Rhinolophus ferrumequinum: one gene and its partners. The protein of the gene in region 4 purifies or fractionates together with the protein of the main gene of each other region. This does not show direct contact. Links are inferred from orthologs where the notes say so. Each region holds a gene or a part of one and is shown on either strand. Other genes may lie near its edges. The genes, in order: VAMP8, NSF, STX12 and STX6.

The links.
Region 1: the proteins of STX6 (region 4) and VAMP8 purify together in Homo sapiens (affinity purification with mass spectrometry; 3 studies listed by BioGRID and IntAct, counting the BioPlex papers as one, with this or other methods). This does not show direct contact. The link is inferred for Rhinolophus ferrumequinum from reciprocal best matches to the Homo sapiens genes STX6 and VAMP8.
Region 2: the proteins of STX6 (region 4) and NSF purify together in Homo sapiens (affinity purification with mass spectrometry; 3 studies listed by BioGRID and IntAct, with this or other methods). This does not show direct contact. The link is inferred for Rhinolophus ferrumequinum from reciprocal best matches to the Homo sapiens genes STX6 and NSF.
Region 3: the proteins of STX6 (region 4) and STX12 purify together in Homo sapiens (affinity purification with mass spectrometry; 4 studies listed by BioGRID and IntAct, counting the BioPlex papers as one, with this or other methods). This does not show direct contact. The link is inferred for Rhinolophus ferrumequinum from reciprocal best matches to the Homo sapiens genes STX6 and STX12.

Annotation. Positions count from the first base shown.
Region 1 is NC_046296.1:8,755,590-8,762,427, forward strand, and holds the start of VAMP8 (vesicle-associated membrane protein 8), read right to left. Parts: upstream 3,022-6,838; 5' UTR 2,878-3,021; coding exon 2,875-2,877; intron 1,535-2,874; coding exon 1,376-1,534; intron 85-1,375; coding exon 1-84. UniProt on the Homo sapiens protein: SNAREs, soluble N-ethylmaleimide-sensitive factor-attachment protein receptors, are essential proteins for fusion of cellular membranes.
Region 2 is NC_046304.1:40,681,175-40,688,447, reverse strand, and holds the start of NSF (vesicle-fusing ATPase), read left to right. Parts: upstream 1-4,252; 5' UTR 4,253-4,357; coding exon 4,358-4,369; intron 4,370-7,273.
Region 3 is NC_046292.1:19,033,077-19,040,241, reverse strand, and holds the start of STX12 (syntaxin-12), read right to left. Parts: upstream 3,003-7,165; 5' UTR 2,933-3,002; coding exon 2,815-2,932; intron 1-2,814. UniProt on the Homo sapiens protein: SNARE promoting fusion of transport vesicles with target membranes. Together with SNARE STX6, promotes movement of vesicles from endosomes to the cell membrane, and may therefore function in the endocytic recycling pathway.
Region 4 is NC_046305.1:13,349,967-13,357,468, forward strand, and holds the start of STX6 (syntaxin-6), read right to left. Parts: upstream 3,020-7,502; 5' UTR 2,793-3,019; coding exon 2,758-2,792; intron 1-2,757. UniProt on the Homo sapiens protein: SNARE promoting movement of transport vesicles to target membranes. Targets endosomes to the trans-Golgi network, and may therefore function in retrograde trafficking.

The DNA of each region.
Region 1 (6,838 bases), on a different chromosome or scaffold from region 4:
CACGCAGATGAGGACAATCATCTTCACGTTCTTCCACCAGAACTTCCGCGCCACCTTCTGCGATGTTGTCTTGAAGTGCTCGGACTGTAGGGGATAAGGTAGAAGGACTCAGTGCCTCCTCCCACTGGAACAAGAGTCCAGACAGAGGCCCACATGCCATACCCCTAAATATTGAAGTGGTAAGTTCAGACAATAGGCTGTTGAATAGAAAATGTCCTGTCTTCCTACCTTGACAAATGTACCTTCATAACTATCTGGTGGGCCAGGTTTACATTTAGAATTCTTGGGCTCCCCTTGGCCCCCTGCCTACCCTCTACTCTTCTTACCCCTGCACTGTCACACACACTGAGAGGCTTTTTACACATGCTCACACCCAGGGGTGCGACACTGGCAGCACAATCTGCTCTTAGGAGGGCAGACACTGGGGCTGAGGGGGATAGGCCCCAGGTGGGTACGTGTGTTCCCTGGTTCCAGGATTCCTTGCCCCATGGGGACTGTTGAAGTTGGAGGAGGGACCAGGGCAATACAGTGGTTGGAAGTGAGGGAAAGTGCTCTTCCTCTCCCAACTGGAGTTGCAGAAACTATATTTCACGGGGCCATCCGTGCTCCCCAGGTTAGGCTGTGGAAACACGCATAAGTCCCAGGGAGACAAAGGAGTTATGCTCAAGATTACACACAGGACTCCGAAGGCTGCAGCCAGTGTCTCCCTGCGGACATGGAAACTTAGGCTGCAGCCTCTGTTGGACTTTAGAGTTACTCCCTCCCTCAGCAGCTGGCTTGGCTTCAGTCCCTGGGTGGGCAGAGGGAAGAATGAGTCTAGCAAAATGTGTAGGAGATATTATTCTAGCTTTCAGCTAGCAGAGGACCCCATCAAAGAATTTCACTGCTCTTCCCAGCTTTTTCTTTTTTTAAGCTGACTCAGCAAGACTCTAGCAGTTTTCCACCCCCTGCCTAATAACTCCTGGAGAAGGCCAAAGGCCCTGGGAGGATTTTCCAGAGCCAGTATTTTGCCCTGAGGAGGTTATGTTCACATGATTGTCAAGGGCAGCCTTCAAAGGGAAAATCAGTTTCACAAGAGAGAAACAAACCTACAAATGCCTACGTTCACTGCACCATCTCTCTGTCTCAGAAAATGCCTCCGTGGGTCAGCCCCTGACCCCCAGCCCCAGTCATTGGACCCATTCCCTGGAAGCCAGTACCAATTGGTGGAGTAGGACAGGATCAGAAGTGGGGACTCAGCTTACATCAATTCCCAAAACAGGTGAACAGGCAGACTTCCCAATTGTTCATTTTGCCCCCAACACCACCAACCCCCAAATTCCCAAAGATCCTCCCTCCCTCTCTTCCTCTTGCCCCCATGGGCTCCCCATCTCACTGTGGCTTCCAGATCCTCTGTCTTATTGCGGAGATGGTCCAAGTTTTCTCCTCGGGCTAGGATCCGCTCCACATTCTGGGTCATAATATTCTTGACTCCCTCCACCTCATTCTGCAGGTTCCGCACTCGATCATTTCCTCCACCTCCACTGGCCTCCTCCTGGGCAGCAACACAGGGGTTAATTAGGCCAAATGGTGGAGGAACAGAGACTCAGCATCAGAGCCTGGAAGAGGGGAAGGGCTAAGGTAGACTTTAGCTTTTTGTAATGCTTGAACTGTTTACAAAGAGAATGCTTTCATGGACAACTTACAAAATCAAAAATAAATGTATTTTTAAGTCCCGATGCTAGACCAGATCAAACTTCTTTTCAGACTCTCAGGGCTCCTGACAAGGAGAAGAAGCACACCACCAAATCCCTTTCCATTGCTTCCTTACTCGTCAAAGAGGAACAGAGAAGACAGCTGAGCTGCATGGCACAATGCAGAACCCCACCACTAGTTAACCAATTCCCAGATCCCGCCGGGTCCTCCCTGGACACGTCTGTGCTGGCCAGTAGAACCCCCTCACCTGGCCCAACCCTCTGTCTCTCGAAGAGAGCAGCTGGAGAGCTGAGTCTGCCAGCGCCTCCCGGGGAGCCTAATTCCTGTGACCCCAGAGGACCAGCGGCCGGCGAGGCTCCCTGTCCCTCTCAAGGCCCCATGAGAGAGATCCGTTGGGCCGCAAACTTCTGCTTTCCCAGCCGCACTTAGCACCATGCGCAGGCACCAAACCATCGCCACTTAAGCAGATATTAAATAAAAACAGCAGTCTGGGCGTTGGGGGAAATGGAGGGCAAGTCCTCCCTGCTTAATGCCTCAACCCGAGACTTCCTAAGGTTTTAGAACAGGGAAGGGGAAACGTTACTAAGCTCCTCGCTTCCCTGATCCACTGGATCTCCAGAAACAGGCTAGGGTGTGGGTCCAAACTAAATTATCACAGAGAGCCGACTTCTGGTTCTTTTACAAACCCTTAGCTCTTCCTCAAGTTTATGGAAAGGGGGCCAATTCCTTGGACTCTTCCTTGGAGAGATAAACTTTAGGTTTCCCTACAGGGATGAAGTGAACGGCAGAGGGGGAGAGCGCTGGCCGCTCGGCTGGAATCTGCGCTGGGAACAGTAGAGGCGCTGCCTAGGAATTTCACAACGCCCAGTTGGCCCAGGGCAGGAGGCCTGGAGGAGGCGACGAAGGGCCTCTCGGCAACTCCTTGCCTGGAATTCGGATCCTCCACCCGCACCGAAACCCTGCTCCAGGCCAGCACTGAGGTCACGGGAGGAAGGGAGTAGAGAAGGATCAGGAACAACAGCTTGGGCAGCCCAGAGCTACTTGCAGCTAGTTGTCAAAGAGAGGCCACAGTCAGCGCTGCCCCAGCCCTCGGACTTGCCATTAACTCCACTTTCCTGATCCCCAGCCCCTTCTGGCTCGTCTTTAAATCAGCCCCTTCCTAGTTCCCAGCTCACTCACCATGTTTCAGCGTCTCAGGCCTGTCAGCTGTAGAATTCGCCTAGTCTGTTTCCTCCCGGGGCGGCCCTCAGTTCACTTCCTGCTTGCTCCAACTTTCAGCCCGCCCCTTGCTCACCTCGCATCCCATGCCGATCCAGCCACACCTTACGCGGGTTCCCCCAGGTAGGCGGGCACCCTTCACTGCCCTCCCAGTCTCCTCCCAAAACGGGGCTGAGGCTTAAAGCAACAGGGCTCCCCCGCACCCGAAGTCTTCTAACTCGTCAGGAACTAGAAAAAAAAGAGGAAACAGCCCTCCCAGGTTTTCTGAGGCTGGACCCCCTGATATAGAAAGGGCAGCCGGCTCCTTTTTTATGTCCTGAATATCTGACCCCAATTTTTAGAGACTGAACTCAACTGTAAGCACCATGCCAGGCCTACTTCACATGGAAGCAGAAAGGAGATATAAACATTGCTTGCTGGACAATCCTTGCTTCCACGTCTGTGGGTGGACAGAAAGCAGTAATCCCCCCAAAGTCTGGAATTCTGTGATCCTGGGCTCAAGTGTCAGAAAGCTCTGGGTTACTCGCTGGGTGACACTGTGGTGAATGAACCTGTCTGGGTTTTGCAGGTACTAAGGAGATCTCAGAGTGCGATGGAGAGGAGTAAAAGGAGAGTCCCTGCAATGTGTCTAGCCCAGGGCCTGGAATGAAGGACTGTCCACTGCGAGAATAAGAACACGATGGCGCACCAACCCCTCCTTTCCTTCCAGAGGTCAACAATCTTGCATTTCTCTCAGGGGCCACCACTACCAGGGTTGGTAAGTCCCGTCAAAAAAGGTGAGAAGGCTGCCCTGTGGAATAGAGAGGGGGCCCAGGGCAAGGGATTTCCACCTACCTGGCTCTAGGCCAGAGAAAATTCACTTTTCCCGGATGGTATTTATCAAGATAGAACAATAACAGGGACATGCAGAAAGAGAGAAACATACCTGTCCCATCTCAGAAATAACAGTTCCAAGAGGAAAATGTCAGCCTTTCTAACAAATACTTTTTAAAGGGTCTAATAAGTTTTGGGCCTCTGTAGCACCTTGAGACACTTTTTTCTAATTTCTAATGAAATCTTATACCCAATTAAATAAGATTCTTATGTTTTGCAGACATGAATTTTGGTGGACAATCCCAGCCTGCTCTCACAGAGAATGTGGCCTGTCCCACTCCTCACCATCCTGAGAAAGGCTACAGTGTGGCCAAGTGGAGGCAGGTCAGAAATCTTGATCTTCATTTGTGTTGTCCAATACAATACAGTAGCTACTGGCCACATGTAGCTGTTGAGACTTGAAATGGATCTGAATTGAGATCTGATGTAAGAGTAAAATACACACAGGATTTCAAAGACTTACTATGAAAAAAGGAACATAAATATCCCATTGGTAATTTTGTATATTGATGACATGTCAGTTAATGTTTTGGATATACAGAGGGTGCCCAAAAATGCATACACATGTTAAGAAAGGAGAAAACCGTATTAAAATTGTAATACTCAATATATACCGATAACAAAAGATAAATACAAGTCATGTGTATACATTTTTTTGGCACCTCAGTACTGTTAAATAAAAAAAAATTGATAAAATTAATTTCACCTGTTTCTTTTCTCTTCAATTTGGCTAGTAGAAAATTTTAAATTACAAAAGTGCACAAATTATATTTCTATTACACACATTGATCTACGAGGTCTGACAATTAAGTTTATAAACTTGATGCAACGATGTTGCTAACGTTTTTTGATATCAGAGGACTTATTCATTATGAATGTGTACCAACTGGACAAACAGTTAACCAAGTTTACTATTTGGAAGTGCTGAAAAGTCTGCATGAAAAAGTTAGATGACCTGAACTTTTCGCCAACAATTCATGGCTCTTGCTTCACAACAATGCACCAGCTCCCACAGCACTGTCTTGTGAGGGAGTTTTTAGCCAGTAAACAAATAACTGTATTGGAACACCCTCCCTACTCACCTGATCTGGCCCTCAATGACTTCTTTCTTTACCCAAAGATGAAAGAAATATTGAAAGGAAGACATTTTGATGACAGTAAGGACATCAAGGGTAATATGACGACAGCTCTGATGGCCATTCCAGAAAAAGAGTTCCAAAATTGCTTTGAAGGGTGGACTAGGTGCTTCAAAGATCACTCAAAATTAGATGATTCCATTAAGTTCAGCATTTATGGTCTGTTATGTACCAAGAACTGGACAAACTACAGAAACAAACTACTATGGAAACAGTAGTAAAATATAGAAATAATAGAATAATAATAGAATGTAGAAAGTATTAAATGAAGTTCAAAGTGCTATAGTAGCACTGAGAAAGACATGAATTATGACTGGAAAAATCAGAAAATAGGGGAAGAAGAATATTAACAGCCAGCAATCAGGCAAACTTTGGGGTACATTGGTATATATCCCAGTCTTCTGTGCCAAGGCTGAAAAACCCTATCTCCCTAGGGAAGTGCAATGCCTTCAACAGCGATTAATGGACAATCCCCAAATCTGTATCTCCAGTCCTGCCCTCTCTCCAATTGCCATTGCTGCCTCTCCAATGCATTGGACAGTCCATAGCCAAACCAACTCCTTTATCTTCTCCTCGTATTCTTCCTCCTGGGGAGTAAGTACTCATAGTCTACCAGTTTCCCAAGCTAGGAATCCCTAAGCCATCCTACACATGCAATGACATCCTACACATGCAATGACATCCTACACATGCATGTCTCTCATATCCACCCCCTCCTTTCCAGCTCTTGCTTCCTGGGTAACGCTAGCATGATGTCATCTCTGGACAATTCCATCCACCTCCAAACTGACCTTTTCTTTTCTCCTCCATTCCACTTGTTATCTTCCCAAAACAAAGATTTGAGGATACTCCACCCTGCCTCCAGGGTAAAGCCCAAACTCCAAAGCTTGGCATTCCAAGACTGTTCTCAACATGCTTTTCCAAACTGATCTCCCTTGTGACTCACCTCCCAGACCCCAGTCATACCAAATTACACACCCTTCCCCAAACACACCATCCGCTTTTATAGCTTTGCCCAGGTGGACCTTTCTCATGATGAGTGAATATTCTGGTTCACTCATCACTGTCCACAGAAAATCTATTCATATTTAAAACATTGCTTCCAGGGGCGGCTAGGTGGGTCAGTTGGTTAGAGCACGAGCTCTGAACAACAAGGTTGCCAGTTCGATTCCCACATGGGCCAGTGAGCTGTGCCCTCCACAACTAGATTGAAGACCAAGGAGCTGCCACTGAGCTTCCAGAGGGACGGCCGGATGGCTCAGTTGGTTAGAGCGCGAGCTCTCAACAAGTTTGCCATTTCCCGCGTGGGATAATGGGCTGCACCCCCTGCAACTAAAGATTGAGAATGGCGACTGGACTTGGAGCTGAGCTGCGCCCTCCACAAGTAGATTGAAGGACGACTTGGAGCTGATGGGCCCTGGAGAAACACACTGTTCCCCAATAAAATTTATTAAAAAAAAAGACATTGCTTCCATGAAGCCTTCCTGCTTTCCCCACTGAGGTTGACTTCTTCCTTCTGATCTCCATCAACATTTTATCTTTTATAGAATCTATAATATGCTTTGCCATTAACTGATACATACTTGACTCCTCCAGGATTCTAAATTCTGTGAAAGCAGGGGCTATCTTTATTTTGGTACCCCTCATAGAAAATAACATATACCCTGCACAGAGTGGGCACTCACTAAATGCTTGGGGTATTGAATTGAAAGATCTGAAAGAGGACTTCTTTCTCTGCAGTGCAGACAGAAAAACAATTTTTATTAGAAGAGATCCATGAAGAAATTTCTTACCTAAATTTTGGACTATTTTATTGTTAAATGAATGCTAATGCCGTGAGTCTGTATATTCATCCTGACAGAGTAACTGGAGACCAACCCCTCGAACAAAATCAAGTTAAAATCGTGAGATGAGAG
Region 2 (7,273 bases), on a different chromosome or scaffold from region 4:
TAAAGTTGTTTTGCCAGCAACTATGAACATTGTTTGAGTCATCCCCACCTGCAAAAAAAGGTGAAACAGCAAAGATAACGTTTTTACCTACTATTGTTTGTACCTATAGAAGGAATATTGGGGCTAGTAATAGGGCTTTATTCCTCCACGCCTCACAATCTGAGAATATGCATTGTTTTCCCAAGATATTCATCGTGCCTACGAATGAAACAAAGTCCCTACCCACATGACACTCATTAAAGGATTACAACCATATAAACAACACATACATTTTTATATACATTGTTTTAAATACAACATTGTGTATATATACATTGTATATATATACATATATACATATATACATATATATATATTTGGGAAATTGTATATAAAACAATGTATATATACAATGTTTTATATACAATTGTTTTATACATACAAATTTTTTAATAATAACATGCATGGGGAATACATAGGGGAGGACTAAAAGAAAATAGACCTAATTTATTGGTGACTGTATTCAAGAAGTGGGGTTGTGACTTCTTTTAAGTTACTGAAAGAAAATATTGTACTGATTTTATAATGCAAAACTCAACTTGCTTTTTCAAAAATACAAAACTGATGATTAGGAAGGAGGTTTAATTGAAATCATGAAAGCTGTTCAGGGGAAGTTTATCAAACTCAACTGTGGTGACTCAATAAAAATAAATTGCTTATGGTGATATTGATTCAGTGGGGTTTTTTTTCTTAATTGAAAACACTTCTTGTCAATATAATGTTATTTGTACAGCATGGAAAGTACAAAGTGCTCTTGGGAGAAGCAGAGATCATTTCACTCTGAGAAACATCTTATTTGGAGATAGTTCCCCATCTCTGAGTTAGACTGTACAATTGGTTAAGTGCTATTAGCATTAGTTATAGTACTCTTGGTAGTGGTAATATCTGCTGTGTAACCACTGGGTCGGGTGCTGAATGTGTTATGTATCTATGATAATTATCTAATTCTCACGTGACAACATTTGAGTTTATAGAGTTTAAATGTTGCACAGTATACCCAGAACACCTTCCATCAAGAATTACTGAACTTATCCCTCTATTCTGGTCACACTTCTGCTCAAGAGATGTCTTCTCCCTCTCTTGGAAAGCGCTGCTGTACATATTTCTTGCCCTAGAAACAGCCCTTGGGTAAACTTGCCCTTAGGAGAAAACTTAAGACATACCTGCACTTTTTCTCAGGGGCCCTCTGGAAAGCTGTCACAGGTAGCCAATATAGTCATCCCACTCAGCTATGGTTTGTGGGCCTCGAGTGTCTTAATGTTCTAGGAAGTGCAGCTACTCCCAGGAGACTCTGACTTCCTTTTCTCAAGATGCATAGAAGTTCATCAGGCCGATATCTGAATAATCTCTCTTCGGAGATGCAGGCAGCTCTCTGGACTCATGTTAGTATGCAGGGTTAGGCAGCCTGGCAAGTGCTTTGGGGCTTGCACTAAAGGATGGTCTGGTTTCCATAGCAACATTCATTCCTTTCCACGGAGGATTCTATCCTCTTGCCCACTCAGAATTTTCAAATAAATTGATTTCAGTGACTATGGGTGTTTGTCCATGATCCTCTAAAGAGAAAAAACCTATTTAATAATACTACTACTAAAAATAAGCCCAACAAAAAAAAACCTGACTGCAGCTAGAATGCTGCATTGCATCAGCTGATCTTCTGTTCTTTCACAATTCCATATCCTTTCTCCATTTTGTTCGTTCTCTAGCCTTATCCATCATTTTGGGAAATAGGTTTCTCTGACAGAAAACAAATAGATGGCAACGCTGTCTCCCTAAAACTGGCTAAGATGGGGCTGTAAAATGAAGTTTTCAACAAGGCTCCCTGAAAGCCTGGCCTTAGGGCAGGGGTGGCTAACCTGTGTGTGGAGGGGCAAGAATAAGGACTGCGATCCACTTACCGCTCACAATAGAGAAGTCAGTCTCTGAAATTTGGCAATTAGAGATTTGTTTCCTTAGGTTAGGCATTGCTCTCAGGCAGTACTCCTTAAATTGCATTTACTCCTGGGAAGAGTGATATATTAGGTTACTAATGCTAAAAGAACTTGGGAAAGAGAGGAGGTGGTGCAGAGCGAAGGGTACAAAGGGGCTCTGAAGACCACCTTTGTCTGCTTCACAGTGCCATCTTCTCCAACAGGGGTGGTGCAGGTCCTTGCCTGGGTTCTGTGCTCCCTCTCGGGAGGGCAGGGTACCTTGTCTGACAATACTTCCAAGGCTGCATGAACTGGGGGGAGCAGTGACCAGAAAAAGGGAGACAGCAAAAACAGGGGGACAATTATCATTGCAAGGGTTGCTCAGAAGGTGATGCCGAATCAGCTCCACTTTGTTTCTAAAACGACCTTGACTATCAGAGCAAGGCACAGATGGGATGGGCAGACATGTGATGACCTGGAGAAATGTCTCAGAATCTTCTCCAGCTGGATGCTAAGCACCTTAAGGACGGAACCTCCTCCGATTTCTTTAGTAGACACTGCAGGGCTGTGCACATCATTCTATTGCATTTATACAACTTGACAGAGGATACAAAGGGCTCCTTATTATGGGTAGATAAGCTCATAAACTGACACACAGGAACCTCTCCAGCAGACCCATCTTTCCTAAGTGATAAATATTACTCCTGGGTGGAGAGATTAAAGACATTTTCCCTTATAATTTAGTTTTCCTAGTAACAAACTTGAGGTATAAATACGTTTGCATTATTCTCTAGCCTTGAAAATAATGTCAGATCACTGAACTGAGAGCCAACGTCACTTTTTGGATTTGGTAATTATTTGAACAACAGCTCTTTGATTTCTAGATTCAAATTCAAAGTATCAAAAAATGTAAGACACAATCATTAAGTTCATCTAATTACTACATCTCTCACTTTACAAATAAAGAAACAGGGGCTCAGACAGGTGAAGGGACATGGCGAGTGACTTGCAGAGAAAGAGAAAGGGCAGAGAAAGAGAAAGGACAAGAACCTGACTCCCCATCCATCCTAATTGTTTTTTATCGCTTTGCAAGTTAATACGAGTGGATCAGAGTTCAAACAGTTCTTTCCTCATATACTTTCTGATCCACCTGTGATTTAGTTAACATCTGATTTGCCCAACAAAGCACTCTGGTTCTCAGGTACAGTGTGAGGGTTTACGAAACTGGCCTGAATATTTTCTTCTGTCTCTGGCCCATCTTCAGGTCACTTACTCATTTATTAGTTCTTAATTTTAAATTGCTAAGCATGCCCAGCTCTTCTAATTTATTTTTCTTTCCTTTCCTTATGCTGGGAAAAACTATTTTTTCTAATTAACTGTGAGAAATGAAAGATAATAAATCCTACCGTTTCTTATTATCTTTTGTAAATATGAAGAGAACTATGAGATAGCGGGGACAATAAAACCATCAGAGAACCCATTTGGCAGAATCACTCTTCTTGCACGATGCCATCTGATGATGACCAATTCTGAATTTCCAGGGAGGAAATGGTGCTGTAGAAAGTGAACAACATCGAGGTTAAAAACAAAAAGACACAATTTAGGGCATATTTCATTCAAAATCCACTACATATACTGCCTAAAATGAAACGACACTGGGGAATGACAAAGATTGTTAAAGACACAAATTACCTTTATAAATATTATATTTAATAATAAAATAAAATAAAAATAAAAATAGGAAATAATCACAACTCACTTTTAAATTAGAAGAATATTAACTAGTTTTCCAGGCTACACATAAGCTAAATACCTATATATGCCAACTCTGAGACTTTCCAGCCCCTAGGAAAACAAGTCTGCCTACAGAAAAAAAGCCTGAATTCACGCAGAATTTAAATTTAAAACCAACCATTCATTACTGCTCTTTCTTGGGGGCAGGCCAGTACCCGCGCTGGGTGCTCTTACATTTTTAAATTTCAGTGGGTCTGGAAGCATAAAGCTACATAAAGACCATTAAAGGGCAAAGAGCAGCGGGCAAAGAGATAAGCAGGGGCTCACTGATTAAAACCTCAAAGGCCTCGCTACAAAGTCAGGCGCAAATGGCCAGCTGTGATGAGATTCGAAAAAGAAGCCCTGGAGAGAGAGACTCGCGGGCGGAAACGTAGGCTCCAGAAATACAGTCACTGCACCCCCGCCCCCAACAGCTCCCGTTCAAAATGGCGCCCCCGCCCCACCCACCCCTGGCGGCCGCCGCGCCCGCACGCGCCCTGCGGGGACGCGGCCGGGCGCGCGCGCAGCATTACGGGGGCTGCGCGCCTGCGCGAGGCCGGGCGGCGGGCGCGCGCGCGGCGGGGGCGGGCTTTGCATAGAGCCGAGCAGCAGCGGCGAAGTCGGACGTGTCCGCGAAGATGGCGGGCCGGGTGAGTGCCGGCTCGCGAGCCGCGGCTAGAGGCGGGGGCGCCGGGCTTGCGGGCACTCGGAGGTTCAGACGGCCCCAGGAGAGGAGGAGTGGGTCTGAGCAAATGGCTTGTTGGAGGGGGCGGCAGGGCAGAGAAGGGCTTGAGGGCGAGAAGGGGGAGCGGTGGCAGGGGAATAGCCCTCCTCATACACTCCATCCCCCCAAGAAAGCTCCAGGGGAGGTGAATCCCTGGCTTTCCGGATCTCTCGCGTCTCCTTTAATTCTCCTTTTCCATCCCTTGGGGCTGTAACTCTCGTCCCTCAAGGCGGCCGCAGGATTGTGGCCGTCCCAGCCCCGTCTGATGGACTCTGGGGGTTTCTCAGTACCCCCTTGCGGGGGCTTATTAGGTGCAGCCTCGGAAATAACTGCGGGGGCTCCGACTGCTGCTTTGGGGCGAGAGCTGTGGGAAGGATCATTAGGAACCCATTTCTGGTTCTTCACAATAAAAGGTCTTGGGAAAGGAGGAAGGAGTGCAAATGACTTAGTGTTAAACCCCGGCCATCTGGGGGATCGCCACTCTTGGATCAGACAGGAATGCCTTCAGCTTGCAGTGGGGATTTGGGGTGTCGCGTTTTGCTTTTATGAATGACAGTCACTTCGAATGCAGCAGGATATGTTATAGTTTCAGGGTTTTAAATTTTACTTCCTCCTTTAGCTTGTAAGATCGCGGTGTAGTATGGGCTTTGGCGAGGGGAGATAGGGCTGGTTCAGCGCTGTACTGCAGTGTGCGTTGAGCTAAAAGCTCTCTGAGGGATGGATCCGTCCAGAGACTACACTCGTCATAAACCTGGGGACATTAACCTGCGTCATTAGGGGATAGGGATGGGCTTGACTGATTATGCTAGAATATTTGAATAAGTTTGCATAGATTTATGCATATATACAAATGTCCTACCTAAAGGAAATTGTCATGAGATTCCAGAATGAGAAGAGACCTTGAAGGTCGTTTATTTCGACCTTTCTCTTCCTTTTCCCCATAGCCTCTCCTTTTTATCTATGGCTATTCCCTCCACCTATGCTTCAGATTCTGTCTTTTCCCACCTCCTCAGGAACCCCACTCCTGTGTATTCACCTGCTCCCTCTTACTCAAGCTCCAACTAAAAGCAAACCCTTCCTCCACTTCCACAGCTGTCACCTATTCTCTTCCCACTTTACAGCCAGAGATGTTGACAGAACTGCCTCCACTTATTGTCTCCCATTTGTTTACCACCTACTCTCCATTCAACCCCCCACAGTCTGATTTCTGGCCCTGTCATCCCATTGACATGTGTCCCTAAACTTAATTGACATTTTTCATTCCTTGTCATACTTGATGTCTCAACCGCATGTGGCATTGTTGACCATTGCCTCCTTCATGGAAAACGCTCCTCTTATGGCTTCCGTGAAATCTTGCGCCTGTTTTTACTCATACACCTCTTTTGCAGACTCACCCTCCTCTGCCCGGTTATTCAATGCAGATATTCCTCAAGGCTCTCCTCACACTATTTTCTCCTCGGACAATCTAGTCTAAGCTCACAGCTTCAACGATCTATATGTCAATGTTTCTTAATATTTTACTCCCAATCCAGACCTATCCTTTAAGTTCCAGCTCAGTATGTCAGACTGCCTATTCGAAATGAAGGCATGTCAAATTCAGCTTGTTCAAATCCAAACCCATTATGTTAGCCCACCTAATGAGTGCTTTTCCTGTGTTTCCTATGTCAGCGAATGGCACCACCGTCCATCCACTATATAGGCTAGAAACCTGGGGTGGGGTGTCATTCTTTATACCTCTTCATCACATCCCCCAGTGACATCAGCACTGAGTTCTATTCCTCCCCCACCCCAAAGAAAGGTACTGAGGTCAAAGAATCTGGCTTGGGGCATTGCTGCTTTATCCTGTACCCACGTCAGCCACTGGGCTGGTCACTTGGGTTCTGTCATTTTAACATTCTAAACATCTCCAATCTGTCCACCCCTCTGAAGTCTTCATTTTCACTTCCTTTTCCCACACGACTATCATTTCTGGTATGAACTACTGCGGGAAGCTCCTGCGTGGTCTCCATACGTTATTCTCCACATCGATTATTCCTCCCATGTCCGTTAAACCCCTCCCTCAAGAGCATGCCGGTACTTTTGGGAGAAGACCAGATCTGTAACCGGGCCTGCAAGGTCCTTTGTGGCTCTGCCCCTGCTTCTCTATTTCCCTCCTTACTCTCTATGCTCGGGTTATAAGCCTTTCAGTTCTTTGAACCTACAGTGGTTTCTCTTAGCACCAGGTCTTCTCATGTGCTGTTTCTTTCTTTGTGATGTTTTGCTCCCAACCAGTTCCCTCCTCACAGATCACTCAGCTACTCAAGGGAAGCCTGTTCTGATCCCACGTTACAAGTCCGGATCCTTTGAATTATGCTCTTGAACTGTATTTCTTTTCTTAGAGATTTATCTGTTTGACATTTTAAATTTATTAGTGTGATTACTTGCCCCTATTATTAGAATTTCCCTTCCAGTAAAGCAGAGACCATGTGAGTTTTTGATTCACTGTCATCATCTGTGCTTTGCAAACTGCCTGGGACCTAGGTGCTCAGCACATTTTTGTTGAAAATGAATCTAATCTCTCTTTGAATACTCCAGTGATGGGGGTGCATCGCCTTCCATAAAGCTAGCTCATTTTACTGTCATGTTAAGATCTTTTTTATATGGAGTTCCATGTAACTTTTATACATAGATATTTCTACTGTTCAGACTTAGCTACATAGAACTAAACACAATTCCTTTTCCACATGATAGCTCCTCAGATATTTGAAGACAGGTTACATATTCCCTCCCTCTGTTTTGTAGATGTTTCTTCTAAGATGTGCTGAGTGGACAACAGTGATTAGTGAAGGAT
Region 3 (7,165 bases), on a different chromosome or scaffold from region 4:
GAGGCCTTCCTTGGCCAACTTATCTAAAAGAGCACACCCACCCTCTCTCTCGTCTCTCTATCTCTTTGCCCTATTTTATTTCTTCATAGTACTGATTTACTACATAGTATTTGCATGTGTGCATATATATACACACACACACACAGACACACACGATCAGGGAAGGGATTTTGTCTGTCTTGTTCTTTGTCTTGTTTCTCCACCAGTGCATAGCAGGTGCTCAAAGAATATTTGCTGAACAGTGAATGAATAAATCTATCATATGTTTGGACTGACATAAGTACTAGAAATATAAAGATGAGTTAAGTCATGTCCCATGCTTCAGAAGAACTAACAATCAAACAGGGGAGGCAGACACACCACAAGAGGACAAAGTTTGACGGCCTCAGGTATTCCTCATAGTTTCCTACGGAGAGTAAAAAAAACAACACACTTGTAACTGCTACAAATGTGTAATACTCATTAAAAATTATAAAAAGGTTAATTGCTGATCATAAGAGATGTGGTTTCAAATTCAGGTATTGCCATTTGTTAGCAGGGTAAGTACTTAACCTTTCTCAGTCTGTTTCCTAACCTACACAATGGAAATAATATTGGTAATTACTTTGCAAGGTTGTTAGAAAATTAAGTCAGGTAATGCATGCAAATAATTTTTCATGCTGCCTGGCACACAGTATGGACCCACATTAATGTTCTTAACATTATGTAACAACACCCGATGCAAACTGGCCAAAGGGGCGGGGGAGACAGATGACAGGAAATACTCCTCTGACCACTGCACCAAGTCAACTCACTTGACTCCAATGATCCCTTGAGCCCAATGCCCACTTAACAGTTACATTTTATCAATTCTATCAACAAAGAAACCTCTCCAATCCTTTCCTTCCTTTTTATTTTCACAGTCCCTCACTGGTGTCTCTGATTATAGTGTCTCTCTCCCAATTCAATTTACACATTCCTAAAGAATTAAATCCAAACCCCTTTAGTTTAGCACTTAAAGTCCATCCTGTTTGGGCCCCAACTTACCTTTCTAACCCTATCTTCTTCCATTACTTTCTGAAGTCCACCACTGTAGCCAAATTAAATCACTCTACTTTTGTATAATACCCGATGCTTTCCCACTACCAGGCCTTGTTCGTTTTATTCCTTCCTGGAATGCTCTTCTGTTCTTTACCCTCAAAAATTCAAATCCTTCCCAGCATCTTTCCAGCCCTAGCTCAAATGCCATAATGCCTTCCTTGACCCTTCCCAACTGAAAATGATCTCTATCTCCCCCGAATACCTACATGTTGTTTATATCTCTTCTATAGCATTGCTCCCTTTTAACTTTATATTTCAGTTATTATGTACTCCACAGAAACCCTTTTGAAACAATCCATGCAGTTTCAATACTACTTACTACATAGCCTGATACTCAAATATATGTAGAATGATTTCACAAATAGACATTAAAATAAGATTTAGCCTCAAAAGAACTTCTAGCCTTGAACTTCAATTTTCTGATCTAACATATATTATAGCTCCCTCACACACACGAAAATAACTGGAACACAAAGTATTGTATTTTCTAACCAGTAGTCATATTATTTTTTTTAATTTCTGGATTTAACAGGCCACATATTCTTCTTTCCACTTTCAAATCACCCAGTCTCAATCCCCTCCCATCAGAAACTTCCGGCTGCTCAAATTCTACATCATATAAGAGTATTTAAATTTAAAAGCAAAGTGATAAGATTGTTTTTTAAAATATAGAACGTAATTGTAATTCAAGACCAACTAGGTCTACCTAGTCACAAAGTACAGCCAAGTACACAAAAACACAACAATAAACAACATGAACGATGGTGACCGTTTTTTCCAAGTAAAGCTGCTGCTGACCTCCTGCTGATAAGGCTCTGAGCTGATTTCCAGGCAAAAGAAACAGCCTGTATTTGACTCACTCAGCCAGTCTCACTCAGACCCTACTGGTGGGGACAGAATTTTAAGACAAGCAATGACATCCTGAAATCCACCACCAGCTCTACTACGTCTTACTTGCTATGTGATTGTGGCCAAGTCCCTGAGCTTCTCTGTATCACATGTGTTCAAGAGCAGCTAAATAGGAAAGGAAAACAAAAGCTCCATCAGCTTGAAAACCAAAAATATATGCAGATATTTTGTTACAAGAGACAAAATAATGTAAATTGAAATGTTTTCGGTGAATTCTCTTTATTAAAACAGAAGTCATCTTACTCCTCAAATACAAATCACTGTATCTGATTTCCAAATTCATTAAAGGAAGAACTGTGTATTAAGTCATCCAAACACATCCATGCTCCACTTCCCTTAATTGAAAGCTGCTGATTTCCAAGGAGCCAGAAACTGAGCAGAATGTAAACCTAAAGTCTCAAACAGTAAACAACTCCCGATGCAAACTGGCCAAAGAGGAAAGAGAGGTGGGGCCGGGGGTGGGAGGAGGCAGATGACAGGAAATACTCGGCTGACCACTGCGCCAAGTCAACTTACTGACTGCTCTCGGGGTGACACACATACCCCCACCCACCTGGGGCTGTCAGCACTGCTCTTATGCCCCAACACCGTGAGGGCATAACTCCTAAGACGAGACTCGAGCTTCCAGCCGGGGCTCGGAACCCTCGGGGGAGCCCGGCCCTGACAGACTCCGGGATGGCAGCTCGCCGCCTCCAGACTGGAAAGGCTGAGAAGGCCTCAGGTGTGGCCTTGGCCGCAGCCCCAGCCGGGCTCCGCGTCCCGGCAGCCTCATCCAGGCCTGTCCCCAGGACGGCCCCCGCCCCCCAGCTCCGTCCCCAGGCTCACTGGCTTGGCTGATCCGCTGGATGTTGCCGCTGCAAGTCTGGATGATGCTGCTGAAGTCCCGGCGCTGGGGGCCCGAGGGCCCCGGGTTCCGGTACATGTCTAAGGGACCGTAGGACATGACGAACAGCTGAGACCGACTCGCCCTGCACCGGGGTCCTACCGGAAGCAGCTACCAAACCGGACCGCAGAGTGACGGAGAAACCGGGAAGAAAAAGGGCAGGGACGGGGCCGAGGCTGCGTGCGCACTAGCACCGCCCCCACGCAGCGCGCACGCGTCCTCCCCGCCCTGCCCCACAGTGCGCATGCGCCGCTGCCGCTGGGACCAGAGACGGTAGCTTAGAGACTGGACGCCCTGGGCCTTGGGAATGCGGGGCGGGGCGATGACGTCACACCGTTGAAGCTGGGATTGGTGGAGCTGGGGTGGCTGTGTTGTTTCTCGCCAGGACTCGGTGACAGGAGGCAAGAATTTTCGATTAGCATAAAATTGTACCAGATGATCTCAGCCTTAACATCCTATTCTGTTCTATTCTGAGAATTCAGGCCCAAATATGGGAGTATATGATAACGTTGAAACTCAGATCCGTAACCAAATTTCTGAAATTCCTCACTGTACTTCGTTTACCTACCGCTTTGTTAGTAGCGGAGCACTTTTACGATTTACAAACCACTTTCATTTCTCCCTCCACCCCTCTTCTAATCAAACAATAAAATAATAAGAAGATTTATCACGTACTATGTGTGAATCCTCACTGCAATTCAATTGTTCATAAGCTCTTTCACAGCAAGGGGACCATGTCCTAACTATATTTTTGCCTTCAGAATAGATAATGAACAATCGATTTTTTAAATGTTGAAATAAAGTAACTGACCAAAGGAAGCGTTATTATTTTTCCTTTTACAATTGAAAAAATTAAGCCCACAGAGGTTAGTTTGCTTTTCTGACTGCAAAACCCAAACACTAAGCTAACTGCATCATCATCTCCCTACTTTCCTAAAACCCATTCTCATATTCCAAAATTCATTCTCCATCTAAATCCCTCCCAAATAACGTTTTCATTTATATCCCAAACCAGGATTTCTTGGAGAACTAGACCCTCGAATTTTTAAAATAATTTCCTTAAGTAATTTGGAGCATATGACCTCAGTGTTCCCACAGAAGACTGCATTTTGTGAGCTTATGGTAAATGGAAAGACATGAGTTTGGGAGATCAAGACAGGGAGAAGTGAAGGGGAACTGGCAAGGTTTGTTTCTTGTGTTCTCCACCCCAGCCCAGCCTGCTTTGTAATCTCTGGGGAATGGTAAAGAGAGGAAGCTGCTTGCCTGTGTGGGAGGGGACCCCAAATGGTTGAATGAGCCTGCTTTCAGCTTTAGAGCTTTTATAAGCCAGTCGATCTCTATTTTTCGTTGGAGCATTTATAAGAGCATTTTTCTTTCCTCTATAAAAAGAGGCAGATGACATTTGGGGGCTCTCATTCTGGTTAAAACCCTACCATTTCTCAGAATCCATAGTTTTATGTCAAATCTTACAGCAAATTATGTAAATTGTACTTTTTTTTCACCTCTAAAATAGTCTTGAGAATGTTTTCATTTACATTTCACTCTATGCAAAGTGAAGTTCAGTAAAGGTATTTTTCTCCTAGCAACTGAAGACATTGGTTATTGTTGTTTTCTTTCTCCACCTAAAATTAAAAGTGGTTTTAATTTTAAACCACTTTAATTTTAAAAGATGGCTGTGCCTTATGCTATCTCTCATAGCAATACATTTGTACCTTGCAAATACTAGATGTCAAATGAACATTTACCGGATTTATAGATGAATAATTAAAAATAACTACCATTTCTTAAATGCCTATCCAGGCAATGTGAACAAATTGTACAAACATTTATCAGTAATCCCCAAGATAAAGCCCATGTGATAAAGACCACCTGTGGTCTGACAAAGTTAGGTTTATTAACTTAATGCTGCAAGGCAGACTGCACACCAGAGGAATCATGGGGCATCCCGCCAAGCACAGAAAGAGATAGTTATTCTAGGATTTGGAGAAAAGATGTGGTGTTTTGATATAGCCTCAAAGCACACCAGGCTATGTGTAAAGGGATTCTCATCAGGCCTGAGCTGATAAGAGGACTCAAAATCCTGTTTCCTTGGAAACTACAACATGAAGATTAACGTGGAATGTTGTACCTGGAAAGCCCTTATCTGAAGGTTTGCATCTGGGTTGGAAAACTGAGGCTGTTTCTCTGTGTCAGAGTAACTCAGATTCTCCAGTCGAGTGGAATATTCAATTCTTATTGATATTTCAATTAGCACATTTTCTGAAAATCTGTGGTTTTAGAGAATAAAGTTTCTCAGCATTATGTCCTTTTGTTAATTGACAAAAACAGTTTTCATGGTTTGCACCATAAAGGTGAGATTAATTCCTTGGTAACAGATAAGGAAACTTGTGTTCTGTAGAGGTTCTGGATACTTGCTCAATGTGATACAGATATGAAGCTACAGAGCTGTGATTCACACGTATTCTATGACTCAACAATTCTAGTCCTAACTATATAATCAACAGATATGCACACATATGTGTTCCGAAAACCAAATATAGGAATGTTCATAATAGCATTTTTTAGGACTAAATGGCATTTTTCTGTATTAATTTTTATTGAGTCATAATTGACATACAATAGAATGTATAGATAGGAAGTGTTCAAGTCAATGAATTTTTTTTTTACTTTTTATTGGGGAATATTGGGGAACAGTGTGTTTTTCCAGAGCCCATCAGTTCCAAGTCGTTGTCTTCAATCTAGTTGTGGAGAGCGCAGCTCCCTGGCCCATGTGGGAATTGAACCCGCAACCCTGTTGTTAAGAGCCGGTGCTCTAACCAACTGAACCATCCGGCCACCCCTCAAGTCAATGAATTTTGTTTGACACTTGTACATACCCAGGTTACTACCACCCAAACCAGGATATAGAACATTTTCATCATCACCCCAGCAAGTTTCCTCGAACTATGCTCTTTCTAATTAATTCCACTTATCCACAGAAATCACTTTCTGATTTTCATCACTACAGATTAGTTTTGACTATTCTTGGACTTCAGAGTGATGAAATCATATTTTATGTATCCTTTAGTGTTTGGCTTGTTTGAATTAAGGATGTTTTTTGAGATTTATCCATGATGCTGCATATATCAGTGGTTTGATCCTTTTTATTGCTAAATAGTATTTTATCAATTTGATTATTCACTTTCTTATGGATGGACATTCAAATTGTTTCCAGTCTGAGGCACGAAGAAGGCCAGAGCAGGATTTCTTTTTTTACTAGTTCCAACTGGAAACAACTGTCCATCAGCAGAATGGATAAATTGTAGTACTATAGAGCATAAAATTAAATGGCCTGCTGCTATGTGAATGATGTGGGTGATCTCATCCAAATATAACGTACAGCAAAGGAAGCCAGACAAAAATGAGTATATCCTGTATGATCCCTTTTTTTATTAGGTTCAAACCCAGCCAAATTAATCTAGATTATTAAAAGTCAGAACAGCATGTAGTTAGTTCCGGGGTGGAAAGGGGATGACTAGGAATGGGCCCATGAGGTAGACTTGTAGGAAGCTCGTAGCAGCCTTACTTGATCTGGGTGGTGATCGTCTAGGTGTGTTTACTTTGTGAAAATTCATCAAGTCAGATATGTGTGATGAATGCCCACTTCTGTATGTATGCTATACTTCAGTAAATAAGTTTTACCTTTTAAGTACAAAGTACCATTATAACCAACATGGCAAGCTTTCTGCGGAAAGGTAGGGAAGGGTCAATGGAGAAATTCACTTAGGTTGCAAAGAAGACTGCATTAAAATTAGAGCTCATGTCAACTACAATTAAAAATAAATTAGGGGGCGGCCAGATGGCTCAGTTGGTTAGAGTGCGAGCTCTGAGCAACAGACTTGCTGGTTCGATTCCCACATGTGCCAGTGAGTTGTGCCCTCCACAACAACTCGAGTGAAGAGAACGAGCTGCCGCTGAGCTTCCGGGTGGCTGGATGGCTCAGCTGGTTAAGAGCACATGCTCTCAACAGCAAGGTTGCCAGTTCGACTCTTGCAAGGGATGGTGGGCTGAGCGCCGCCCCCCTCCCCCCACCCAGCTAGATTGGAAAAAAAAAAAAAGAAAACGGCAACTGGATTTGGAGCTCAGCTACGCCCTCCACAACTAAGATTGAAAGGACAACTTGACTTGGAGCTGATGGGCCTTGAAAAAACCACACTGTTCCCCAATAAAAGTCCTGGAAATACATACTGTTCCCCAATAAAGTCCTGTTCCCCTTCCCCAATTAAAAAATAAATAAATAAATAAATAAATAAA
Region 4 (7,502 bases):
ACGGTAAGTAGGGAAACCCTTCTTAGAGTCCAGAAACTTACTCCTGTGCTACCCACATGGAGCTGTGAAGCCACATGTGCCTACTGAACGCTGGAAATTTGCTAGTGTGACTGAAGAACTAAAACTATAATTTAAATTAAACTTTAAAAACTGATATGCAATTCAGTTACCGGAAAATGTTTAACAATGTTGGGAACAATTTGGGTATATGAATCTCCTTTTCAACTATAAGTTTAATAAACACAGATCAAGTATTTCTGATGAAAATTTCACATCCAAATTGAGATGTACCATAAGTGCAAAATATATACCAGGTTTTGAAGACGTCGTACTAAAAAGTAAAATATCTCATTACTAATCTGTATATTAATCATATGTTAAAATATTTTGAATCTATTAAGTTAAGGATGACATTAAAATTAATTTCACCTATTTCTTCTTGCTGTTTAATGTGGCTACTAGGAAATGTAGAATGGCATATATGGCTCACATTATATTTTGTATAACACTGATCCAACAGAACCCAGGGCAGATGAGAGGAAAGAGACTGGGAGCAGGAAGACCAATTAGAGACTCTGGTAAGAGTCCAGATGAGACACAGGCCTGAATTATATAAATTCTACCCATCTTCAAAACCTGATTCAAGATTTACTACTACCTCCAAAAGCTTTTCCAATCATTACTCATCCCTAATGAGTCACCTTGCTCCAAACTCCTGGGTCACCCATCTTCTCTAGCATTCCCCTCAGTCCTCAATCATTTCCACTTGCTTTTGTGGGCAGTTATTTCTCAGTTTAGACTATCAGCTCCTAGGCTAAGGGCCACAGTTAGGTGTCTTTAATTTTTCTACATCGTGTGATGTGTTTTCAATACGTTTAATAAATAGAGGTGCAAGGCTCCTCGAGTAGTCTGTCACACATACAGTCTGACAGACTGTATGTGGCTAAATTTACCTTTGTACAGCAGAAGATATTGAGAGTCTCATTTCCTTCAGATACGTGAAGGGCAATAAAATGATGTCAAAATCAACCAAGACTCCAGGCCAATGTTCCAATACAGCAGTGATAGCTAATCAGTGAGAAAGCACAGACTGTCTTGCATACTCTCAGGGAAAAAAAAAAAAAAGTCCAGATGGCACAGCAATTTAGCATTTTCACAAATTCTATTAAAAATCAAGCAAACAAAATTTTTCTGATTCTCTCTGGTCTCCATGGCCAGAGATAACCTTTGCAACTTTCATTCAGGGGGAAAACACACAGTTTTAACATTTAAAAGTTAATCCCTAAATCGATTCTAACAAATAACACATTTTCCGGGTAGAGAGCCACATATTACTAAAAAATCTACAATTCGGCATTTTCCCACCTACGTTAAAGGACAGTGAGGTCGAAGGGGGATCCAAGATGGTGGAGTAGATAAATGCTGTGCTTGCCCCCTTCCGTGACCACATTAAAATTACACCTAAATTATAGAACAATCAACCTGCAGAACCACCTGAAGTCTAGCTGAACAGAAGTTCTATAACGAAGGCTATAAAGAAGAAACCATATCAAGACTGGGGAAACAATTAAAGTAAGGTGAAGAAAAACCTTTTTAGGGAAACATTAAGAAACGTATAAATATATTTACTGTATCATAGATAATAAAGTATTTCACCTAAAGCACCATTTAAATTTTCTAAGAACCCTTACAAAAATAAATAAACACCCAGGTACCTGGTCAGCTTTCACCACTCCCCAAATAGGAAGTAAGCAGCAGCTATTTGAAAGCAAAGGGACCCTTTATGATTTTCAGTATTGATCATCTAGGAACTTTGTGGTTCTCAAATTTATGTTTGACATTTAAAACATAAAGTTGACAAGTGGTAACAACGTAAGAATCCATCTTTCTTGCATTTGTTTAATGGCTACAAAACCGATACAGTAACAAAGTGCTATTAAAGTTTCTATCGCCAAACAATCCAACAATCAAAGATGGAGTCAGGACAGCTCAAAGGGAAAAACAAGTAGGGAAACCTGTCAAATAGCCTGGATGAAATCAGGGAGTTGAAAAGAAAGCACTCGTTTCCTTTCGCACTGTGGGAAAATCCCGGTGCTAATAGGAAGCCGAGGGAAGTTTAGTTTGGCTGATTTCATTTTGTTTTCCTTCCAACATCATCACTGAGTATGAACGATTGCTTTCCTCCCCTCCCATTACTCAATAAAAACTCCCCCACTGAATTGAGCTGTCTTCCGGAGCTATCCTCCCCAGCCTCCCAGCCTGCAAACGTGCCTGGACGCCTCCGGGCCGGTTGTGGTCCCACCAGTCTGCCGGCCAGCGCTCCGATCTCAATGGACAATGGGAGCTCACCCCCGTCAACACCAACTACAAAGCTCAGGAGGGCCATTTCCCTTTTCCTGCCCAGATGCTGTTTTCCCTCCTTCGAAGCAGGGCCTCATGCTCCACTAGAGCTGGGACCCGCGTCTTTCTACCCACCTGCAGAGCTGCTGAACTCCTCGACCCCCAAATAAGTTACACCGCAGCGCACAGGCCAAAGGGGACCCCCTCCCCAGGTTGGAGGCACGGATTTCACAGTGCAGGTAGACGGGGAGGGGATGTCTCTGGACTCTTGGTCAAGGCTCTGAAGGCTAAGCCGTCCCCACAATCCCCTCCCCAGCCTCAACTTGTCTCCCCTCCCCCTCCAGCAAGGAGAGCGGGGAGGTGCGGGCAAGCAGCATCGCCACCTCCTCCTTCAGTGGAACTCTCGGCGACACTCACCCTTTCACCACAAAGAAGGGGTCCTCCATGGACATGGCGTCCCGGCCCCCAGCCGCCTCACGCCCGCTCCACGCACGGGGCGCCCGCGCCCTCCGATCCTCCCTCCGCCCACCCGACGGGCCTCCCGCAGCCGCCGGCGCCTCAGCCTGGGGATCCCAGAGCAGCGGGCGCGCGCAGGCCGGGGTGATGCAGCCCGCGGCTGGTCCAGCACTCGGTGGGATCGCAGATCGAATCCCAGACTCCGGCGCCGGCCCCCGCAGCTGCCTCCTCCCCCAGCTCCTCCCGCTGGTCCGGCCGGCCTGACCCCGCCCCCGCCCACAGCCTCGGCCAACCACGAACACAGCCCGCTGCACCACTTCCGCACCCGAGCTCACGTGACCAGGACCTGCCCCCGCCCCCGCCCCGTCGTGGGCGGAGCCTAGGCAAGCGTCGCTGGACCCTGGAGGCGGGGCTCTAGGAGCGAAGGAGAGGGGCTGGTCTTCTCTCAACCCGCCCCTCAGGATTCAAGGGGAGGAGCCACCTTTTCTCTCCGAGGAAGACAGGTAGGTTTTCAGGATGTGAGGTAGTACCTGAATTGCACAATCCTTATAACTTTTCTCTACGTACTTTTAATACTTGCTTTTGATAACATATAAATCCATCTCGTCCTCGACTTACCGTAAAGCGTGCTCATGTACATGATCTAATTATGACAATGTTGCACAATTCCTTTAGGTCTTACTATGTGTCCAGCAACGGGATAAAGGCTGTTTATGCATTATCTCAATGTATCGTGTAGGGGACGAGGTATTCTTATCCCCATTTTATAGAAGAGAAAAGTTCAGAACGGTTTCAAGATTTCCTGTAGTCACACAGCCTGGACAGGGCAGAGCCCCAGGTTCTGTCCACCTTTAACCAGACTGGCGTGTATTTTCTTTTGCTGTGTATTTTGCAAGTAATTAGTAAGGTAATTTTTTCATACGGCATATGGTGCTTCCCAGGAGAGAGCACCTTTGAGGGACAAAGAAGGGGCCAAGTATGGCAACCTGCTCTCAGCTATGGTTCAAGAACTCTTCCCAAAGCATTTTGGTCAGAACAATTAGCCAACTCTTATGCTAGATGTGCTATGTGAGTTGTTAATTTCAATTGCTGATAATCACTGAGCAGTTACTGTGTGTCAGGCACTGTGCTGTCATCTCAGTTGCTCGCACAATGAGGTAATTACTGTTCGTATCCCCATTTTACAAATGAGAATTCAGACTCTTGGAGGTTATGTGACTTGCCCAATGTCACCAATCTTTTTGGAGTTGGAAGAGTCCTTTGAGCCAGACAAACCCTGTTTGAACCAGGGTTCTATTATTCAGTTCCTCATCTATAAGAGGTGAAGAAGAATATTTACTTCATGGGCTGTTATGAAGGTTAAATGAAAATGCAGGTACACGCCCAAGACCCCAACGGAGTAAGGTAGTGAAATCAGGGAAACCAGTCCGGAAGCTGCTGTGCTCACCTGGTCTGAAGGGATGAGGACCAGACCAGGATGAATCTGACAGATGTTTCCAAGGAAAAACAAAACAAAACACCTAGACATCATGAGAGATTGAATGGGGTTAGGGAGGAGACAGGTGTAAGTGCAGGCTTCTCGGAGACCTGGAGGACCAGTGGGGAAAAGAAACTATCGGGAGAGAACTGTTTATTTGGCTATGGACATATTGAGATGGGAAGGTGGAAAAGGATCATCATCTTTCATTCCTTCAACAAACACATGTAAATTGAGGGGCAGATCAGCATAGTGACTACGAGCCACACTTGGAGCCAGATTGCCCGAGTTCAAATCCCAATTCTGCTACTTCCTGTTCTGTCTTGAGCTTCCTCTCTCACTGTCCTGAAGTAGACACCATAATAATGCCTTTTGCATAGGGTGTCATGAGGATTCAATGAATTGATGTGTGAAAAGTGCTTAGCACAGTGCCTGGCACGCGCTGTGTGCTCTTACTATGTGCTAGGTGCTGAAGACACAGAGAAGAACAGCCTTGGTCCTCACTGTGAAAGAACTCTCAGACCGGTGAGAAAAACAGGCAGTTACACACAATGAGAGAAGGGCACAGGTTGCCATAGAAACACAAAGACAAGATACCAATTTGGGGGGGGTTGTTTCTAAGCAATGACTGGAGGCAGCCAGGAGACTGCATTGCAGCCTGTGGGGGAGCCACGGCAGAGGGTGATGCTGGCATGTAAGGAACAGGATGGTGACAAGAGGCGCTAAGGCTGGAGTCTGACAAGGTCAGATGATCAGGGCCCTTGATTATGATGTTAAGAACTGTAGACACTCTCCTACAGATCATGGCAGCTGAGGGAATTGGCAGGGTCAGACTGGCATTTGAGACAGACACTGTGGTGACTGGGAGGTCAACTGGGAGGTCATGGTCTAGAGGAGGAGAGATGAGGGTGTCTTGAGATAGGCTCATGGCAAATAGGATGGAGAGGAGGGATGCTTTTGAGAATACGTTAAAGGCAAAGTCAGTGGACTTGGTGACTGATTGGTTCAGGGTGTTAGGGGGTTGCTGAAAGCAGAGGGAGGAAGACTTGCAGGCCTTTCTGGAGTTGGAAGTACGTAGGTAGTTGTTAGTCCCAATCACCAGGAAAGAGAACACAGGAGGAGAATTAGATGGAGGGTGGATGTAAATTAGCTGCTAGCACGTTGGTTTTTCTCACTGAACTAGAAGCTTCTGGAGGGAGGGGAGAATATTATTTTACCTCAATGCGTAGCATACCCTCTGGTTATCTATTCCATGAGCTTATTAGTTAAACCACAAATGAGAGGTCAGAAACAAAGCAGAAGCATAGAAGATAGAGGACAGAGGCTTGGAGAATTCTCATAATAAGGGATTTGTAAAAGTACCAGCAACAGACATACTGGAGGGTTGAGATATGAAATGTGTGTGGGAGGGTATGGGGTGTCCCTTTAATGTCACCCTCCTTCACCCTCTCTCAACCCAAACAAGACATTGGCCTCCACTGCCCCGGGAACAAGGAAGCTATAGTTAAAATGCAAGCATCTTTTCATGGGCTTATTGAACATTTGTATATCTTCTGTGGAGAAATGTATTGAAGTTTTTGCTCTTTTTTTAATTGGGTTGTTTCAGATTTTGTTGTTGCTGAGTTCACCCTGCATCCTTTTTGAAATAACACTGAGTAAGGGAGAAAAGTGTTGCATAGACGTTAGGTATTATACTCTTCATCATTATCTCAGTCTTTTAAAAACCCTGAAATACATATGCGTGCTCTGGAATACTCCAGGAAACATTCGCTCACATTGGCTTCCACTGATCCAGCCGTGGCTGTCTGCGTTTCCCAGCCCCAGCTACAGAAAGTGTCCATCCACACACCGACCCACACACACTGGTTATGTTTCCTTCCCTCTCCTTGGTTGCTACCAGCACCTCTATCCTTACCCTCTACACACTGGTTTAAAATAAGGAGGAATTCTAGTCAACTTATATATCCAACACTAGAAAGTGATTAAGAGTTTATGAAAAATCCATTTGATGGTCATTAGAAACGTTATTTTGAAGTATGTAATGACATGTATGGAAGATTGCAAGACAAAATTGTATATATGATATCATTTCAACTCTGTTCATTTTTATACATAGAAAAAAAGAAATGTATTTAAAGTTTAGCATAATGAAATGTTTACCTGGATCATCAGAAATACAAAAAATAAAAACATAAAAATAAAAAATAAGAGAAGTGAGAAAGTTGTGGCCACGTATGTGAAACTACAACAAAAGTTAGCAGTTTTAAATGATTAATTTTAGAGTCAGGCAAGTTAGAAATGTATAAATGAATGGATATTGGCAAGTATTAAAAGTTAAAATATGTTATTGGAATTCAGTGAAATTCTTGACGAAACAGTGAATTTGAACCAGGGTAGGAGGACAGTTATGCTCTTTACGATCTCTATGAATTTGTTGGTGTGCAGGGAAGGAACAACCACACTCTGGTGGTGAAGTAGTGAATAACAACAGTAACAATGATTGTTAACAATTACTTACTACGTATGTAGCAGACATTGTGCTGAGCAACATACATACATAACCTTCAGAAGTGGCTCCAGAATTTCTCCATAGGGCAGGCTTTAGAATTTAACTTAAAGTTCAGACGGCAGGGCGAGGAGGCTTGAACTGAAGTTACATGGCAGACCCACTGTCTTTTCTTAAATTAGAGGTTTACTTGGGATGGCTCAAGAGGACTACTGGTGATTATGTGTATGTGATAATAGTACTGTGAAATCCCAACAAGTGACAAGTCTCTTATTGCTGCAATAACAAATTACCACAAACTTAGCGGCCTAAACAACACAAATTTATTCTCTTATAGCTCGGAGGTCAGAAGTCCAAAAGTGGGTCTCACAGGCTAAAATCAAAGTGTTGGCAGGGTTGCATGCTTGTGGGAAGAAGCTGTTCCTTCTCCATCCTGTTCTAGAGGCTGTCTGCATTCCTTGGCTCCCTTCCAGCAATGGCACGACTCCCACCTTGCTTCCAAGGTCACATCTTCCCTGATTCTGACACTTTTGCCTGCCTCTTATAAGGACCTTGTGATGCAAACCTAGGTCCCTGAACCAAGGCCTTCCTCATGGCCTTGCCTCCACTCATCTCTCCCACTAACCTCCACTTCCTTTTTCTTGTCTGGGCCTGTCCTCCAGCTCCCTGGACAAACTTAAGCTACTGTTTCCCAACTTGTCATGCTCTTCCTAATGACAGTGT